Linked DNA regions of Drosophila melanogaster. The protein of the gene in region 3 interacts with the protein of the main gene of each other region in a pairwise test. Each region holds a gene or a part of one and is shown on either strand. Other genes may lie near its edges. The genes, in order: CG30080, CG13300, CG42288 and CG15673.

Region 1 (5,302 bases), 1.6 Mb from region 3:
ACGGGTTCTTGTGCGGCGATAAGATTTTCAGCATCACCATCATCCGACTGCCAACTGCCAACTGCCCTTTTCATTGCGACTCCCAACTTAATCGGTCCGAAGTTTGGCCATCGCCGTCTAATGTGCTTCGCCAAACTTTTGGGTCCGGCTCAAAGGCAGTTGGCACCTCGGACCACTTTCAGTTATTTACGCAGCGTCGCCTGAACCTGACAATCAGCAGCAATTTGCCTCAGCGCCTGGGATCCGCACTCGAGTCCCATCCACATCCACATCCGCATCCGAATTCTTATTCTTATTCAGAAAGCATCCGATAAGCATAACAGTTGTCGTCGTGCCGCCGGCTTACACCTTGAAATCGGATTTTTAGGGTGGGTTCAGTGATGAGCAAATAAGCAAAAAAAGTTAAATTAAAAAAAGAAGTACGGTTATTTATCAAAATAATTTTAAAATATTATTATCAAAAAACTTTTAAATATTATTTTGGAGTAATTTTTCTAATTAGATACATATCAGGTCATATTTTATGCCTTTCCAACCGGGAATGGTATTTTTCCATTAGCTGAATGGGTTTGAAATAAGCAAGAAAAAGGATATATTGGCACCTCTGGTGGGTTCGGTGGTTTCAGTGGGTGGCTGGGCGTCTGGCGGCGGTGCGCTGCTGCCAACAAATCGTCGCCAGATGGTGGCGACAATAAAACGTTTTACAATGTAACCAAGGCGACGACAAGGAGCAGGATCCGTGTGGCCATGTGTGGACAACAATGTGCAACAAAGTTCATAATTGTTTATGGCGACGGCTTCGATTTGATTTTTATGTCTTCAGGACTTGGGGCAGTGATTGAGTGTTGGTCTCAGGCCACAACCAAGGGGAAAAATGTTATAACCTCTAGCATTCAACTGTTGTAAAGAAACCTTAGAGTTTTTACATGCACCCGAAATTCAATTAAACAATTGTAAAGTAATATATTTAATGGTAACTCACAACTAGTCGTTTCACATACTTTCGAAACCATTTAAAACTTAAGTACGTGCATGAAATGAAACTTTAAATTCACCCTCATGCATCCATGGAATCTAAAGGTATAACATTATGGCACATAAGTTGCTTTTCGTTTTCTATTTGGCTTAATGGCATAGAAACATTAGGGATGAAATTTCAGACTATAATATTCCCCAACCTGCGGGCCCCGAAACTCCCGCCAGTCCGTTGGCTTCATTATATTGAAACTTTGACGTCGTTATTTTGCATAATTTACAGCTCGCTTGAATGCAGCAGCCAAGTATATTTCTATAACTACGCCGGTGATGGGCGGAAAATGCGGGGGGAAACTGCGCGTGTCGGTTGTCAACGCTACCTTGGCACATGCGAAACGTGAACTTCGAGACATCGAGTTAATGATTCGCACTTGTTCGCCCCCGCCACGCCTCCTTTTTCGACGTTTATGAGGCAGTAATGAAGTTGATTTATTACATTACACGACTTCTCGGGATCTTCGATTTCTTCTTCAGCTCAACGCACAGAGCATTGAACTCTGCATAGAAAATAGATACGAAAATAGACGCATTGTGACTGCAGAAGTAGCCGGCTGAACTCAAACATCTGTTCCGCTAGTTCCGCCGGATCGAACCATTTCCTAGATGGCTATAAATAGATAATGTAACGCCCTAACTCCAATCTCAGACACGCGTCTGCGATCGTCAGCCGCGACTGAGGGCTAAATTTAGAATGTGGAGAAGTAGGGCCCGCCAGCCACCCAAAAACATTAGTGTGGAGCTCCAACTTCAGTTTCCTTAGGAGCGCCATGGAGTGCAGAGCTGTTCCCATTCTACCCACCTATTCTCAAGCCTGGTTCGTAGTGCACAGTTTTGGATTAGCAAATCTACTAGTTAGTTTTTATTCAACAGTGGTACTCCTATGCCCCGGAAAACGTCCCTCTGCCGTACACTCTTTGATTATGGTCCTCTAAACGATCCGGTGATCATACTCATAACACTGGCCGTCGTAGTTGGATCCTTTTGCCTGCTCAGCGGATTCATTTTACTGTGCGTTGTCTCAAAAGCCTGGCAGGATGAGACTTCCGAGGCCATTCTCCTAATGGGTGAGTAACAGTGCTATTGAATTGATTGTTCCTATGATGAACTTTGGGTTTATAGCGATTGGCTTCTTCATCACGGCTTTGTCCTGCGTATCGTGGAAATTGACGCGAGCTCAACGAATTTCCCAGTTAGTGGATGCCCTCAGCGTAGATAACCAAACCATTTAGCTTGAAAGTATCTAACGTAAGACATATGAAAACTACGAGCTTGCAATTAGTTGCAATATACCTGATAAACTCTAAAACGTTCAACATTAGGGGCTGTCCGAAGTAAGATTGGTCTTAAGTTGTTTTTCCTATTCGCTTATGTTAAAGTACATGAATTATCTTATCAATGTCACCTATTTAATAATCTTGTTTGCTTTATAATAATATAATAATAATAATATTTAATATTAATATTAAAATATTAACCGAGACTCCCTGGTTTCGGACTAACTTAATACATAAGTGGGCTAATCAACGTGCCACCGCACGCAAAGGATAACCTCTCATTCGGTTTTGAAAGATTCAATTGCAGCAAGGCCATCCAAAGTCGAGATCCCATTTGAATCTCGCTCCCTCCAGTTATCTTCTGATCCCCGAATTCTCCGCACGAACTCTCACTGGCAATCAGCACGAATTCCTCACAGCAAATGAATTTCTTTGAAAGATTGGAATATCAGCATATGTCGCTTTGTTAAATGACCACTCACTTTAGAATTTGAAAAACAAGGGGCATTCCTCTTTATTTCCAAGTCCTTGGCGGTCAGCTGGTCCTTTGGCTTCGAAACTATTTTCGCGATGCACTAACATTCTCTGTAGTGTAAGCATTTGCCTGGCTTCTGATCGTAGGTGGTGCAGTATGTTTGATCTTGGGGAGGGAAACATTACTACAGGTCACCCCTCATCTGCTGGCACTTACAGGGCTTCTCTGTTTGGTTTCCAAAGGGAACTGCTTGTCCGGATTGTTGACCAAGTTTAAGGCATATGACCAGGAGCAGCAATTGCAAAACCGTCATTGCGCCACCAAGCTCTGATATGAACTGAATGCAGAAGACAGTCAAACTTCAGAGGAATCTCTGTGGATTATCTGATTACAGGTAGCTTGATTGCATATTGCAGTGATTAAATTTACAGAGAAACAAATAATGCTGCAGTGCAGGATAGAGAACATTAAATATTTATTTTAAATATAAAAAAGGGTGAAGAATGAATGCGTTGATACCATTTCTGTTAATATCTTTGTTTTCGGCTAACATAATTGTATCTTAAAGCTGAATTTTTACTGAATTAAGAGAAGATTTGCTCATCAGTCATATTACTAGCATAAAGAGGTTTTCGGTTAGATACACATCTAAAGAGTAAACCATATTGCGAATTGTAGGTAACAAGAATTTGATCCTCACTCCATCCTGCTCTTAAGGACATGACCTACCCCTGGGCATCTGGAGGCGCAAAGAAAATGCAGCTGCTTGCGCCCCTACCTGAGATCAAATAGTCCTTGATCCTCAGTCCGAAACGAGAACTCATCGAGAGATGCCACACTTGCAGAACATCGAGCGGGATTTTCCCCTTAACTGGACCTTGAATCCCATTCGGATCTCTAGTAGTCTCGCCGCAAATACTCTTTCCTTATATCGAAAGATCTCGCAAAACATGTGGCGCAGTTGTATTCAATTTTGCCATAGTCCCAAGTTCCAGCAATATGTTAGGTAAGTTTGGATACAATGATATTAGATATACATATAAAAAAATGTCCCTCCCTATATCGATTCTTCCAGATTCCTCGAGTCCAGTCTCTGTCAGTTTTAAAGAGCAATGATCCAAGAAAATGCGTCGTCGCCTCGTCTTCAAAACAGATTGCTTTTGATTTGCAATCTTGGCACGTTGACGATGCCAAAATTTGTTAGTTGAATTCATTATAGCGATACGCAGAGAGTCAGTCAACGATCTCGTTCCGAGAGGGGGGTTTCGCTTTGTTGTTTCAGAGTTCTGAAATACAACAATTTGTGGCATTGTAAAGTGCTCGTAACGCGATTGGGTTTGGGGCATTTCCAAGTCGGCGGCTGGGAAACTACCCTTGCCGCAGCAATTCCACCATCCAACCTTCAGTAGGGGGAAAACACCTCGCTTGGAGCTGCAATAAATTCCGGTCGCTATCAAGACGAGCGTTCAGTAACGTTTCAAAGCCAGACGCGCTAAGATTGCTAATTCCAAAGCTTCGACCAGTCGACGAGCATCAGAACATGGAGCACATTCGATTTGTTGACAAAGTCTTTAGAGCCCTGATCGCCGGCACCCTGCTGCTCCTGATGACCGCCATTTACCGGGAGGACAACAACTCCGGATCCCACTACATCCATCCAAGACACGCCATGCAGTAGCTCCATCGTGGTCTACTAAGATCGATTCAACCTAGTCCGATGCAATCGAATCTCTCGAAAGTGCGGCACAAAAACCGGTTGTGTATATTGCCGGCTCGACGACATATCGCCATATCAACTAACTGCACAAATAATGTTATGTTATATGTTAATAATGTTAATGTTAAGAAACATGTGTAATTATCTATAGCTCATCCCATCGTAACTAATCTAACTTATGTGCTATAATGTTAATACTTAGAAATTAGTTTTAGTGTGAAAATATAATATAAAATGCAATGTATATGAACACAACCATTTTGCTCAACTTGCAGATAACATGGGATCGGGAGGGCTCTGAAATATCGATTAGCAAGAGCTATTCGCACTCTTTGCAAAACAGGTTGCAATTTCATGCGATCCGAACTTGTTTATAGAAAACATTTTTAATGGGCCAATTTCAAACGACTTTAGCACGAATTTCTTTCTTTATCCGTGGCATACTCTAGAAGCTGACCTTAGCTAATATAAGCAATCACGTTTTGCTTATTGGAACAAGTGTTTTGAGCAAATTAAATTTCCGTGCAAAAGAGCTACAAGTGATATGAAGAACATTGGTACATACGACTAAGTTTTGCGGTATTTCAGTATTTTAAAATTGTTTTAATAAATAAATAAAAAATTACTAGAAAATGTATTATCAAAACTAAAAAATGTTTAATTATTTAAACATTACACAATGCATTTAAACAATTTTTCAATCTACATACATATCCTCCTAATTTTACATCACCAACGCTTAGCATGGTTTTCAACCAACAATGTAAGATCGAATCTTTTCTACATGAAATGTAACAAATA
Region 2 (4,998 bases), on a different chromosome or scaffold from region 3:
TCAATTGTTTGTCTTGGCTTGGCGCTCCGTCTTCGGAGACGGAGAAACGGCGCATTTCTCATAAATCATTCGAAAGGCTCTCTGGCGGGCAATGTATCGCGGCATCGTCATCCCAGAATCGAATCCCTGACTCGTCGACGACGTCTTCTGCCTGTCAGAGGAGTCGTGGTCGATATGAAGAAGGAGCTGGGGGAGCAGGAGGAGGTGGGCCTGGCCCACTCGGATGCCCATCCAAGGCATCGAACTTGTCTAGCCCATCTGAGTGTCGGCCCTGTCCATCTTGAATTAGTTGAGCAGTCGCAAGACATTAGGTGGAGCGAATGGCTGAAGATGGCTAACTATATTAAGTTTGACTTTTAATGCATATTTTCTAAGCGTTTACTTCTCAAGGAATTGCTAAAGGCCTGATTGAATTTATTTATGATTTATTTTAAGAATTTCCAGCTGCTAGGCCACAGATGGAGATGAAAACGCTTTTTAAATTTAATGTTCAAGTTTTACCATCCTACTAAACATAAAGTTAAGATAAAAATGGTCATTTTAGATGTTATATTTGTTAGGTACTAGCGAATAGGTTTTAAATAGGGAACAGTTTCTACTTGTGTTTTCTTTGACATCATCTTCAGTTAAAATGAATGATATAATGTAAAAGAGAGAACAAAATTGCAGGCTGCATCATTCCCATTAAAATGTCCATTTGCAGTATTCACCCGCCATAATTTCTTTTGATAAAACACCTAATGATATAAAGTTTAATTACTGATAAAAGCAAGAACTAAGTGCTTTTTTCACCATTTATCTGCCATGATTTCACTGGCCTTTGGAGCACATTTTTTGTGCTGGTTAAGTTTTAAGTAGAGTCCAAACCTCGACCCGCCTGTAACTTTGACTGCACACGCATCGCCCCTCGCTGCTCGCCGCTTTCTCCACAGAATTTTCCACGGACACTCACCTGACGGAGCCGGCAAACTTTTGCATAATAAAGCAGGTGCTTTTCCTCCCCCAAAAGGGATCAGACCAGACCAGACCAGTCTGACCTCGCCACCTGAGTCACCATCACCATCGCCTTCGCCTTCGCCATCTGCACGAACTGTTAATGTGCTGGCGATTTTAGTTATGGCCAGTGGCCAACGCCAGTTGGGAGTTGGGACCTGACCAGCTGGGCAGAGTGTCCTTTGTCCCGTTGATAATTTAAAGCCAACGACCTGGACCTGGCCGGGATTAAACCAACTGAATGGCAACTGTTTTCTGCTCAAATCACAGAGAAAATAAATTGGGGATTTCGTACTTACAGAATGCAATTTCGAGCTTGCCAAGCTGGATTAGGTTACAAATTTCAAATGCAAGTTGTATGTAATTTGTTGATTTTACGGTTGTAACCTAACAAAAAACAGTGTGCAGAGACCAAGCAGCAACAAATAGGCACACCATTTTTTCCTCCGTGTAGGATGGCACACTCCTACCCACTTTTAACACTCACCAATCTCTTCCGATTCCGCTCTTTTGGCCATCTGAATATTCATTTCAATTGTGCGAACTGCATCGGCGGTGAAAGAAAAGCCTGCACCATTCCAGCGGCAACGGCTTATGGCACTTTCTTTGGGCCAAAAGAGTGGATTCGTTGATGCCCCGATGTTATGCTGCATATCGATGGTGCGGTGCTGGTGCTGGTGCTAGTGCTCCTAGCTGCTGGTGGTGCCGCCCGGTGGGGGACGACGACCCACATAAATCATTCACAATTAGATGCGGACGCAACTGCGGCAGCGGCTTAAACACCTGACCGACTTGCTCCCGAAAAGACTCCAAGCCGAGTGATTTTCCGCCCGAGTTCCACTCGAGTGGCCAGCTCAAGTGTTGAGTGAGTTTTCGGGGGCATTGAGTGTGCCGGTTCCATGGCGTTCCGCCCATGTTCCACGGACCTCGACGGACCTGTTCCCAGTGCGTGCCGTTCAGTTTGTACTTGAGACCGGTTCGAAACGTTGCCAGCCGAAAAGTCAGCGGGCCGCGGACGACGATATCCCCACAAAAAACCAAACCAGAACCAAAAACAGCTCGCAACATTGGCAACATAGCAACCCCCCATCAGCAACATTGGTTTTTTCGTCTTTTGAGTTTCAGTTCAGGGTACCACTATATGATTTGATATGATACATAAACCCCGATTGTTAAGTGATTTTGTGCGGTGATCAATGTGTGCGATCGGCAGTTTGGCAGAATCCCCAAGAATGCCGCGTTAATTGAGCTGTACGTACAGCTATAGTACAAATTTGCATAACCAGTGAGGAGGCATAAACAAATCTGGCCGCCGAGCGGAGGAGCGTCTTGGTTCACTGATTTAATGCCACAAACAGATTGCAGATTGTAGCCCGCAGCCGCGCCCCTGCAACTTGCAACTTCTTTGGCTGCAACTTGTGCAGCAGGCAGCAACCAGCTAGCAGCGACCACCTTCACCTCCACCTCGAACTCCTTGCTGCATCTTGGACTCGGTTTGGTCTTGGTCAACCTGCTTGCAAGCTTGTTTCTGCGGAAGAGCTGCCGCCGGAGCGCCAGACCCGGCAAAAAAAAAAACAAATACAAAAAAAAAACAAAACAAAAAAAAAACAAATCTAAAAAAAGTAAGGAAAAACACATACAGAACAACACGGCTGCCGTTGTCGTCGTCTTTGGAATTTTCTTTAAAAACAACGCGCTAAGATTTGCAACGCGGACCCAGGCAAAAAGTGTAAAAGGCAAGCAAATGCATCCGCGGAATAAAAAAATTAGCGCATAGTGAAGCGTGTCCCAGTGTGTGTGTGTGTGTCGTCCATTGTACATGAGTGTGTGTTCTAAACGCCGAGTGTGCGAATAAAAAAGCTGCCCAACTGAGAGAAAAAAAGTTTGAAAAGTGTCAAGCGAGCGGCTCGGTGGCGGCCAATAACCCAACGACTGGCATGCAATTGCAGCCAGGCGACCCCGACGGGTTAATTACCGTTATCCTTGCAACACAGCAACAACTAAAACAACAACGAGCCACACTAAACGGTGCTCAAGTTGTGGATTACGTCTCCGCCGCGTTGTCGCCGTGTGAAAAGGACAACAGGAACACAGCATCTGCAACATTGGCCATAAAAAGCGCATTGAGCACACGGCAAAGTCAAGTGAACATTCCAATTGGCAACGTAACGGGCTAATTGGCACACACAAACACATCGCTGCACATGAAAACGAGGTGAGTTTCAAGAATTCTGCATTTCCTTCATCCAATTGCCTGCTAAGCTTGTTTCGATTGCCTTCCATTCCTAGAATGATTTATGAAAGAATGTATTGGCAAGACAGGCAAGATACGGCTAAATACTTATGACAAACTAAATAGATCGGTTTTTACAGGGCTTTATTGTTATGAATCTTTTTTTCCCGTGAAATGCCAAATTAGTTGCTGCCTGAATAAACGCTATCGATTTCATACTCGAAATTACTATAATTTGTAACAAGTTATTAACTTTTAACTTTAGTTAGTAACTATTAACTTCAAAGTATTTAAAAGAATTTTATATTAGTCTGTGATATTTTAATATATTGAACGTATATTGATTAATTTTCAATTAACACCTTTAACTTTATTTCCTTCCCAATTACTTTTGAAGGATGTTTTAATCGTGATGATGGTCATGGAGATCGTTTTCAAACTGCTCATGAATAGGTCCTTGAAATAATTTTATACCATGAAATATATCTGCTTTTGACATTTTGGGCTTTCTTGTAACCGTTTGCACTTTGGAGTTAACAATGTTTTTTTCACCGGCCTTCAATTGCTTACTTTCGCTCATAACGACGATATTATTTCCTAGATCTGGCAATCGAGGAGATGAACCAATCGTTTTTTTGCCAAGGAAAGTCTCTTGAAAGAATCCAGGTCCTGGTACATACGTATTTCCCTCCGCTTCCGTAAGTCCCGATGTGGAGGTGTTTACCGTTATAGCTCCATCGTTAAGTATAATGCTATTGGCACTGTCATCTTTCTGATAAGCTAAAACGCTGGCGCAAAGGATAGACAATAGTCGCAGTATCCAAACCATAGTCCGTGGAGATTCGTTTAATATAAGCTGAGAAATCTGCCTTTATCATTACAAGTCGTTTGTGGCTAACAGAAATGTAAGGCTTTGACATTTAGCATGAAATCGGTTTGATTCACATTTCGCATTAATTTACATGGTTATACCATGTGTTAAATGGTTATATACTTGTTTCAAAACTCCAACAGAAGTTTGCATTAATCCCGAGCAAATTACTGGATATACTTATAGCTACTAGATCCTTTATATATATTGGTGTAATATTTCTTAAGCTTAAGCCCGGCTTCGTCTCGAGTAAGTCAACGAGTTTTCTTTTGATCTCTGGTTCGGTGCGACTTAAAAGCGGGCCAAGCTGTAGGCCAATTCCAGGGAAGTCCACTCCATCAGGCTGAAGCCCATCGAGTTTTCCATCGAGTTTTACTGCAGATACATTTGTGACGGGCCACTTGGAGCTGCTCGGCTTCGATTCTTGTATCTCTCAATTTCCATTAGACCCAGAGCGGGTTCTCGTTCTCTTGTGTTTCTACGCTTTTGGTTCTGAAGTGAATTTATGTCGAGCCGCTAAACAATTGATGCTGAAAAATGATGGCAATGACAAAGTGATTACGGCCAGCAGTGGAAAGCGACGCGAGATGCCAGCAATCGAAGTTCAAGTTGAAAAATAACATTTTCAATTTCCAATTGTGGGGTTCATAGTGAGCCAGAGCTGCCTCGGTGGAAAAGTGAAAATGAAATGCTTTGCTAGCAGACAAAAGCGGTTCATCATTAATCATTTAGTTTGTTGTTTTTACAGCGCAACCGAAAGTATACCTATTTATACGTACATAATCGGCACTTCTTCTTCGTTTGGGGCACGTTCTCGATTTGAATCTTTTCCTCCATACGCCGTCCCATTTTTTTCCTTTTTTCATCCCGTGTTTGTTTCGTCTCTGAGTATTTGGCTTTG
Region 3 (2,849 bases):
CAGTTTGGGTATCGCCCAGAGTTTCCGTTTGCAATTTTGCGGTTTCAATATTGAATTGGGCGAGGCCCCCGCATTGCATTTACGCTTGACAATGTTTCGACAGCAATTTGCTCAACAAATTGCGATTAAATGTATACAATTGATTGACCATTGTTTGGCTTTCATTAGCACAAAGGAGCGGGGAAGTGCCTTTCATTCGGTGAGTAATTTGACGGCATTATAAGGGCAAATAACCGCTGATCTTGACCCCCTGACCACGCATTTACTCATATTTCAAACTAAGTAACATATGTGAATATGTTAACACGTAGTTCTCCTAATCTGTTGGCCATTGAAAAACTAACCTTCCTTGTGACTGACACTTTTTTTTTGCCTCCCCTTGACAGACTGCCATTCAATTGTCAAATATCTTTGGATCTGCAGCGTCACGATTTCCAACTGGGCGCACGACCTCAGACATTGCAGTTGCCGATAAATTGCATTGAACTTCAAAAATTGAAACTTCACGAGGGCCATTTGGCAGCCATTCGAGGGCGGCTGAGGGGGCGTGGTCGTTTTTATGTTGTAAGGGCACGTGTCAGCCTTTGGCTGCATAAAAATTTCAATCAACAACATCTGTTGAAAAATTGCATTGCGATTCCACAGTAATTGGTTTTTTGTGTGATTCAATGCAAAATGCATTTAGTTTGATTGTGAATTTGTGTCTTTTAAGGATTTTGATCCTTAATCTTAGTGCAAGATTATTATTGATTCAAATATTAAATAACTAACGCAAAAATTTTACGATCAACTGTTCCTTGCATTCTGTTGTTTTGGGCGAAATTCATGTAAAAAAAAATCACAAATTTCTGTAGCGGCATGTTTTTTAAAAAGTGCTGCTTTTTCCTGCCCCTCAACGTGGGTTGCATAATCATTGGAGCCATCTTCATAACATTTCACGTTGGGGAGCTGATAACGCATTCGGATGACACCATTTTCATCAAGCAAGTGTCCCACAAATGGTGGGCACCCGTCATCATGTCTCCGATCCTGACAATTGGAACTCTGAGCTCTATACTCCTTGTGTATGCTGCTTCGAAGGTAAGAGATTCAATTGGTTTCTTTCAAGATTCTAATGCTTTATAACATTACAAATGCAGAGCAAGCGAGGCTTTGTCCTTATGTGGATTATCATCTATGCAATTATACTATCCCTATATTTCCTAATGGCCGTTGTCCAGTTGGCCAGGTCGAAACCTTCGCCGATTATATTGGCCGTTCAGGTGTTCATCATAGGTGGGTGTTGGCCATTTTTGATTGAATATGTCTGAATAATGTCTTGATTTTCATACCCCCTAGTTGGTCTCGTTTATTCCCTGCTAATAGTGCTGGCTTTTTATCGATATTTGAGCAGTGTGGATTCTGACGATTCAATTTGATGAGTTGTAAAATAAATGTTAAACTAACGTGTAACTGAATTTAACTGATCTAGTTTACTTCTTTCAGTGTGTCCCTTTTATACAAACTAGATTTTCAACAAATTTCAGTTTCTCAGGAAAGCTTTGAAAATTGTTGTTTAAAACTTGCAGTGCGGCTGAGGATCGGATCAATCATGGCCTGTCGCTGCAAATATCTGAAGCAGATCTTTACCAAGTGCTGCTACTGCTATTCCCTGCGTTTCGGTGTGCTGCTCTTCGGATGCATTTTTCTAACCTGGTTCATTTACATCACCATCGGCACCGGCTTCATGATGGAGTGCATCTTTCCGAACGAGTATCAGAGGTCCCTTATCCCAGCACCGGCGGCCCTCAAGGCCACCATGGTCTTCTCCTTCTTCGGCATCATAGTTTCGGCCATGCTCTGCCTGGGAGTGCACAATGTATGTGATCTGTCTATTATAAATATTCCCAATATATTTAGCATATGCTTATAATACCTCATAATTTTGTAGAACAACGAGATGCTCTTCCTGCCATTTTTGGTTTTCACACCCATTTGGATAATTGTGCACATTTTTGCCCTGACCGTTTACAGCTTTAATACCATCATCATCATCCTGACTGTCATCACAATGTGTGGGTACCCCCAATAATCATGAATCTAAAGCCTAAATTAAGTATACTATTTAATGTTTTATAGTACTTTTAGTGTATGCCTGGCTGGTGGTTTGGTCCTACTACATAGAACTGCTCTTCGCCTACGAAGATGAACTGGAAACCGGTTATGTGTAATAATAGTAATAATAATGATATTTACAAATTTTAGTATGTTGAGCAAGCATTTGATGTGCCTAATAAAATAATGCATGTAGGATACAGAAATACAGATCATAATTTCGCTTGAGCAGAACTCCATACTATGTGAAGTAGACCCCATTTCGGATGTACATATTTCTCCCCGTTTAGTGAGTATTTAGCGCACATGAGACATGCCCGTGCTCTATATACACCGAAAAGACAATGGGTATCGCAGTGGTAATGACAGTGACCGACTTACCTTCGGCAGCGAGGCGAGCACCTGCTGCTTGACATCCCAAACGAGCCGCTCCGATGGGAACTGCAGACACTTGTAGACATTCAGCTCCGGCACATGGATGCGCACCAGTAGCCATCCGTCCCGCGGCTCCGGCGGCGGCTCATCGTCAAACGCACCCGACCCGGACATGGCGTCCGTATTGGCCGGGTTCTGTTTGACTTTGGGCGTGGGTGGGTGGTATGTCGTAATTTTGACGGCTTTCTATCGCACGGTCCACGAAAAAAAAACGAAGCTACTCCCGCTCCACTGGGAGATCTCCTTCTAGCCGTTCTATTCGCTTAATTTGCTCTTTCCTTATTTGGTTGCACTTCAAAGTGATTTGCCTTTGGGCGTGA
Region 4 (6,868 bases), 7.5 Mb from region 3:
TGTTTTGGGCCAGATGTTACCTTCGCTCGATCTAAACAACGGCGGCTGGAAAGAAATTGAAATTCACTGGAATCGATCAATGAATGAACCGAACGCCTGACCCTGAGCATCCAAATGGCAATGGGAGGGGGAAGTGCCTTATTTATGTTTGCTTAACTTGCCCCATTATTTGGCCAGCGCAGTGTTCAAACAAACAGTGTTTTCTCTTGGATAAACGCACGGCGAGCACTTCAACTCCAGATCACCTGATACTGAATGAAGGGGGTTCAGTTTCAGGCCTTGTCAATCCCAATCCGTTCGCATCAAGTGTAAGTTAACATCAGAACGAAAAAGCTTCCCCCGAACGCTTATCAGTACTCAGTTTTGAATTCGTTTCCGCAGAAAGCTTTCACCCGAGCGAAACTAAATGGTTTTGGTCTACGGAATCTGTTTGCTCGAAAGCTTTTGCCAAGCAAGTTGCCAGATAACTTGCCCCCAACTTTGAATATTCCCCATAAGCCCCTGATTAACTGGAAAGCCGAGTTCTTGGTAAACATTTAGCAAACATCCCGTTGGATGAATCATTTACGATATGGCTATGATTTATTAAAGTTAATTACTTAATCATCTAGTTTCAGTTGAACTGGCATTTGAATGCATATGCGCACACAGATATCTTTCATTGTCAGTCTTTTTGTGGGGATCTTACGACATCTAATACTTGGCCCTTTGCCATAAACAGCAAATATCACAGAGTCGGAATAGTAAGGCCGGATCCAGGGATCCACCGTCGGCTTATCGGTTGCTTAGTCAGCGGACTTCTGCAGTTCATTGACGATGATCACATCGCAGGTGACTGCGGCTGGCAATGGGTTGGAAGTTGGGGGCGGCGTACCCGACGGTGGTGCACCCAATTCACCGGCCTTGTTGCTGAACGGTATCACAAACACGCTCGTCTTGGCCGCGTGCTGCATCTTGATCACCGTATCGTAGCTGGGAGGCGCAAATTCGCTGTAGGATGGCGAGGGCGTGGGTGGTGCCCTCAGACCCTCGGTGGATTGACCTCCGGCGGGACGACGCCTCATGTCGCGGCATCTGCGATCCGAACAGGCCATCAGCATGAAGAAGGCGGCCAGGGCCAGGAAAGTGGCCACATACCACACAATCGTGATCACATCCATTGCCGTCTGGGACAGATCGTTGGGCGACTCGACGACAGCTGAAAGTGTTAGGTATTAATTAGTTTTGATCGTGACTACTATAGGGCTTATATCGCAGCCAAAGCATAGACAAATCTCCCCAGTCTAATTGAAATATAAGGTCCAGACTCTATATGGAAATAACTAGAATTGCTAGAATTTCATCCCAGCAGCAAGTTATCAGTTGGTGCTGTTGTGCTTCTAGTCACGAATTGTGGGTCTGTGCTATAAACTTTATGACGAAACTGCTCGACTGCAATACTTGCGCGTCATCGAACTACGCTAATGGCTTAAATGAGCCCCATTGATAGGGGCTAACCCTAGTGGCGGGTATATAGTAATTAGACGGGAATCGTTGTTGATTGCCGGTTTCAAGGGTCCACTGAAATTAAGATATTACCGGTGGGCGAGCGTTACAAGGGTTACAAATGTTTATGGCAGTTGAAATGGCCTGTTCAATCGATCTCGTTTATTTTCACTTTGTATGGTACTCAAGTCAATTCTACTACCAAAGTAATCAGTGACGTTTTGTAGCAAATCTTATCGATATAAATCAATTTAATTTATTCTTTAACATTAATAAGACTCTAAAAATAAGTGGCTGAGTGGCTGACAGCCTAAGTGAAATAGAAATGATTGAACGATTTACTCAAAGTATCTTTTTCTATCTAGCACAAAAATCTTAGTCTGATGCCTCATGCACATTTAGTATTGCATCCTTCAGATACTCACTGTTCTTGTAGACAATAATCCGCGTGTTGTTTGAGATGGTGTCGGGAAACAATTCCACCTCGGTGGTTCCGTTGGCGTTTGTCAAGTTGTAGGGCAGTGGGCGGGCGGACTCGTGGAGAACGTTCTCCACGCTGAAGAGATAGGACTGGCCGTCTACGCAGCACGAGCTGGCGATGATTACTGAAAGGAAACAAAACGGCCACGCCGAACCAAACCAAACCGCACCGAAACGAATCGAATCGAATTGAATCGGAATGAGGCGGAAGGGAGGGGAACGGAGCGAAGCAGACAAGCTGTATTAGCGATATTATGGTATCAGGAAATCAAGACAGAGCGGTGAGCTCACTGATAGCTTATCATCGCCACTCTGGGGCGTGCGAACGAATGGATCTTCCTCCAGGTGGGAGTGATCAAGTCAAACATCTTCATCGGCGACTGATAAGGAATCTAAATATAACCAGTGCCAGCAGGGTGTTCCCCCCCGTAAATGGATCGCTAAATAATCTCAGCCAATCGGGCGACTAGGTTTACGGCCAAAGCCACTTAACGATAAGGCCCTCAATGACGACCCGGTGTCTGAGGCGGCTTTTGGGTATATCTCCAGCCCTGATACGACTGGAGAAGATCTCTAGTCACTGCGGCTAGTGGGGTAGGTGTTAGTTCGTCCACAATGGTCGGGCATTATCTTCCTGGTTGCGGTTTGCAAAATATTTTGACGCACCCATCACAAACACAAACACCATAAAAGCCAGTTAAGCTGCCGCCAATAAAACATGGCTATCTCATTTAAAGCCCATTCGATGAGTTGGCAACCAAGTTTGCACACTTCTTTGGCGGCGGCCATATTTCACCATCGAAGGTGCGTTCCCTCTTGGATCGGGATGGATGGCTGGAGACGCACACGGCACACCATCTTTATTTTGAGACCAAGTATCTTTACAACGCCTGTCAATTGCGTGTAATTACCTGATTGCGCGCCCATCACTTCGCTATCAATTTCACCACCTAGCTGATGAAATTTCGGTCGTACGAAATCGTTGACCTAAGTTGGAAATGTGACGACGAGTCTCGATGAGAGCGACAGCTGGTCAATTCCATGAGAAATTTTTGTAGCGCCAGTCCAGAGGAAAGTTGCGCAACTGACTATGAGATAATTCATACGCCCCGTTGTCTAGCCAAAAAAATGTAATTGCTTCATAGATACGAAAGGAAGGTGAATGAATTGCAGTACCAACTCATCGCCACAAATCGCTTGATCTTCTTTTATTAGTAGGAAACTCCGTTCTGGAAAAAATTAGCTGAATGGAATCGTTGTGCTAATTTCTGACAACATTTGGATTCATCTAGAGTCTAGATTCTAGACCAAATGGTCATGTGAAAGCACAGATGTGGAATCTTTCTGCTAGTCGAAAACAAATATTTTCCACGCTGATAAGACCGAAAGGCATCTTCGGAGCTAACTGAATGTGTAACCAGGTAATTAGGAGCAGACCTGGACAACCCTGCTCCACTTCTGCACGCACTACAAACTAGATTAAAGCACTTGATATGTGGCCGCTAAAAATAACTGCCAAAGCTAATGTTTGACTGCGGGTTATTCTTGGGGTTGAGTTTTCAGTCAACAGTGGATAATTGGCGGGTAGATCGGGTGGGTTCGCTTATTTATAGAGTGTCGAGTTCGTGGTGATAAGGTGGCGGTAAAGGAACGCATGCAAACACCATTGGAACGCCAAACAAAGCGAACCCAATGGAAGTGGAAAAACAAGCGGACACAACAAAATATAAGCAATTAAATTCTAATTAGCCACTAATGGCAAAACGTGCTGAAGTCAACGTCAGCAATTCCACTTCACTACTGCGTTGGCACCTGTGCAAACGGAGCATGGGCCATTGGACATGGTATATGGGATATATATTGTTTGGCCCGCATGCCATGTGCTCGCTTGGCTAATGTATCGGAGCTGCAGATAGGCGAACTCCAAGCGCCTTGAACCCGCTTTCTGCTCAAGAAATCGAATTTCGGGAATTTCCGTGAGTGTTTGCCATTATGCCCGAGTTGGGTGGCTTAGTTGAGAGTAGAGTATAGCGCTTTCCTCATAATAACGTCATTTATCATTAGCATTTGGGGCTTGCCAGTGACTTTGGTTTAACCGGTTTTCATAACTTGCGGGAAAATTGCAAGTCGAGTAACCGCAGCCTCACCCCCTTTAAAAGTCCCACTTTAGTGAAATGTCAACGGAACGAGGGGCTTTTACTTTGATTCGCTTGGATGATATTTACGGGGCGATCACATGTCGGTTAATGCCGGCTATCACAACTTATCTAACGGGCTTAGCAGATGACGGTATCGTAAAGACATCGTTAACTGGTTTACGACTACGACGTCTGGATGGAGGACCAAGATGATATGGTCTTGACGCCAGAAGTTCCTCAAACAGACGCCACAGGCTATAATGGTAATTGCGTGTGATAATACAAGCTTAATAGCTATTAAGAAAATTGTTCTATGGTTTGTGGAAGCACAGTTGCTCTTAGGAAACTATATCTTTCGTACTGAAACTAATAAACAGCTGCTCAATCAAGTCTCGATTGTGTTTGTTTGTAGGGGCAATCAATTAATCATAATAGAACGTTTAATAATATTTATGAGGCTTTAATGCCAGGCAAACCGTCACCATTTACGCCAAGAATGAATTAAGCAATCAGCGGTGATATTTCCTGTTTTTTTTTTTTTATTTTAAGCATAGCTTAGAACGACTAGTTCTATGGGATAATTGGCCGTATTATAAAGAATAACTTTCCTACACAAAACGCGATTTCACAGACCCATTCAAACATTGCCTCCTATTGAGCATTATCGGTATACATATATAGGTACCTGCAATCAGCCAGAGTTTGTGGAAGTTCACGTTCGCATAATTAGCATATGCTTGTTTGGAGACTTGCTTGTTATAACGATATATACATAGGTATAGTAGCCAGAGAAGGCCTGTCCCAGACTCACCACCTATCATAATGGGCCACATTGTATGGATCCGGCTGTGTGGCATGGTGCTGTTGCTGCTACTGCTCAGGTAACTCGGAATGTTGTTTGTTTTTAATTCACACACTTGTCGGCTTGAATTGCAATCAATGAATTTCCATAAATCGTTCACTTCACTGAGAACTGCACCGGGCAATTGGAAACGGAGGCGGGCTGGGACTTGACTTGGACTTGGACTTGATTTGGATGCGGATGCGGACTGACCGCCGTATCGAATCGATCTTTCAGCTTCAACTGTGTGTCGCAGACTGAGCGCGTCGCTCGCCATGTCTACAGCTTTTAGCCGGAGCTGCTCTTGCTGCTGGTGGTTCCATCGCTGCCAGCGTCTTTGTGTGGCCCCCGTGCGTATGAGTCACGCGCTCTCCGCCGGGCGAGAAAGTGTAGTAGTGATTCCAGCGATTGGCGGAACTGGTTAGAGCAACGTATATAATTGCTGGCCAAAACATCAAACAATGCGTTCTGAAGGCGGAGGTGCTACCACCGTTGCCACCGCCAAGCCCATGAATGATTGGAACGTGGTTCCGTTCGGGTTCTCCGACTACGATTGTTTCATACAAACCCCCTAAAAAGAACCAAAGTTTAATTTTATAATGATTTTATTTTATTATTTTATATATACTATTTCGGCTAGTAACCACGCGGATAGAAAGCATGAGTGCATAAGTGAGAATTGAATTTTAAAATTAATATATCATATGTATATCCAAAGTTACTAAATATTTATCTTGCTATTCGAAAATAATCTTCTTGCTGCGCAGTTTATGCAAAATATCATTGTGAACTGTAAAATTATCAATGTTAAAGAAGTGACAATGTGTCGCAGATAAGGAAAATGTGATAAGAAAAGTTAATAAATTATAATCAATGTTGGTTGTTTATGCCCTTTGTGTGTAGGTCTTACATGCGCGCTTAAATTAACAAATGTTGCCTTTTCACCTTTAAGAACATCACGAATATCGGTTAAGGTAAGAGCCACACCTCAATTTGCAGATCCTTAGTTACCTTGGTTATTTTTAAAGCTTAAGTTGGCTTTAAAAAAACTGCGAAAGTGGCCCAAAGAACTCTCTGCTCTGCTTAGGGTTATTTTTGGGCGTGAACTCACACCTACACGCCCCTCTGCGAGGTGCTAATACGCTGTGTGAATTTCGTGATCCGACCAAGTGGAGTCGTCAGAAGAAGATGGAGTGAAATTTCTAGGATCCCCCAGTGGTCTGAGATTCGGGTGATGGATGGTGGAGCGGTCAAACTCCTTATCAGGGTGCTTGACACAAATTAAGGCCAATCTATGAGCGACGGAGTGATTTGAGTTCGACCCTGAACTTGATGAATAGATCGAGCGATCGATCAATCGATCGAGCTGCTCGGCTCGGCTCTTTTGTGTGCGTGTTATAATTGGCACCTGGGCGTTATATATAGAGATGTATCCATGGAGCAGCTACCGGTTGCCAAGAGAGCTGCACATTCGCTAATTGAATGGCATACTGCGACTCCAAGGCAATTGGACAATTGTGGGCCGACATTGAACGGGGGCACAGATTGGTCAGCAAATTGTCTCGCAGCTACGATGGCAATAACCAGTTTGGTCAATTGTGACGAGTCAACGACCAGGCGACCCCAGCACGTGCCACATCCAACGCGATCCATCCACGACATGGTTGGTAACAAAGTAAAATCTAATTCAGAACAGTAAGCGGACCAGCATTGATTAGCCCACGATATGACGCAGTGGCAGTAACGCAGTTCCTCTAGTCGTGACCAAACGCCGATTGCTGGGCAGATGAGTTGGTGATGCGGGGGATCGGATTGCCGGTTCGACAGGTTATTGGATAAGGCACGTGCTGATTCACGATGTGTGTCACCATGTGATGAAACCGACACCCTGCAACTGGGGAGGCTAAGCGAAGAGTGAGGTAAT

The links.
Region 1: the proteins of CG42288 (region 3) and CG30080 interact in a two-hybrid assay, tested with the Drosophila melanogaster proteins (one large-scale study listed by BioGRID).
Region 2: the proteins of CG42288 (region 3) and CG13300 interact in a two-hybrid assay, tested with the Drosophila melanogaster proteins (one large-scale study listed by BioGRID).
Region 4: the proteins of CG42288 (region 3) and CG15673 interact in a two-hybrid assay, tested with the Drosophila melanogaster proteins (one large-scale study listed by BioGRID).

Annotation. Positions count from the first base shown.
Region 1 is NT_033778.4:15,698,176-15,703,477, reverse strand, and holds CG30080 (uncharacterized protein), read left to right. Parts: upstream 1-1,781; 5' UTR 1,782-1,802; coding exon 1,803-1,849; intron 1,850-1,905; coding exon 1,906-2,099; intron 2,100-2,154; coding exon 2,155-2,264; 3' UTR 2,265-3,614; coding exon of another isoform or gene 3,615-3,790; intron 3,791-3,859; coding exon of another isoform or gene 3,860-3,890; 3' UTR 3,891-4,324; coding exon of another isoform or gene 4,325-4,462; 3' UTR 4,463-4,752; downstream 4,753-5,302. Other genes in the region: CG46433 (uncharacterized protein), read left to right, coding at 3,615-3,790, 3,860-3,890; CG42662 (uncharacterized protein), read left to right, coding at 4,325-4,462.
Region 2 is NT_037436.4:6,349,367-6,354,364, reverse strand, and holds the start of CG13300 (uncharacterized protein), read left to right. Parts: upstream 1-1,974; 5' UTR 1,975-3,208; intron 3,209-3,535; exon of another isoform or gene 3,536-3,629; coding exon of another isoform or gene 3,630-4,055; exon of another isoform or gene 4,056-4,089; intron 4,090-4,998. Other genes in the region: Sfp65A (seminal fluid protein 65A), read right to left, coding at 3,630-4,055.
Region 3 is NT_033778.4:14,089,518-14,092,366, forward strand, and holds CG42288 (uncharacterized protein), read left to right. Parts: upstream 1-1,513; 5' UTR 1,514-1,591; coding exon 1,592-1,858; intron 1,859-1,930; coding exon 1,931-2,054; intron 2,055-2,118; coding exon 2,119-2,210; 3' UTR 2,211-2,297; downstream 2,298-2,849. Other genes in the region: prosap, read right to left, coding at 2,476-2,643; CG42287 (uncharacterized protein), read left to right, coding at 859-1,080, 1,140-1,275, 1,339-1,418.
Region 4 is NT_033778.4:21,607,869-21,614,736, forward strand, and holds CG15673 (uncharacterized protein), read right to left. Parts: upstream 5,204-6,868; 5' UTR 4,937-5,203; coding exon 4,915-4,936; intron 2,091-4,914; coding exon 1,911-2,090; intron 1,199-1,910; coding exon 786-1,198; 3' UTR 525-785; downstream 1-524.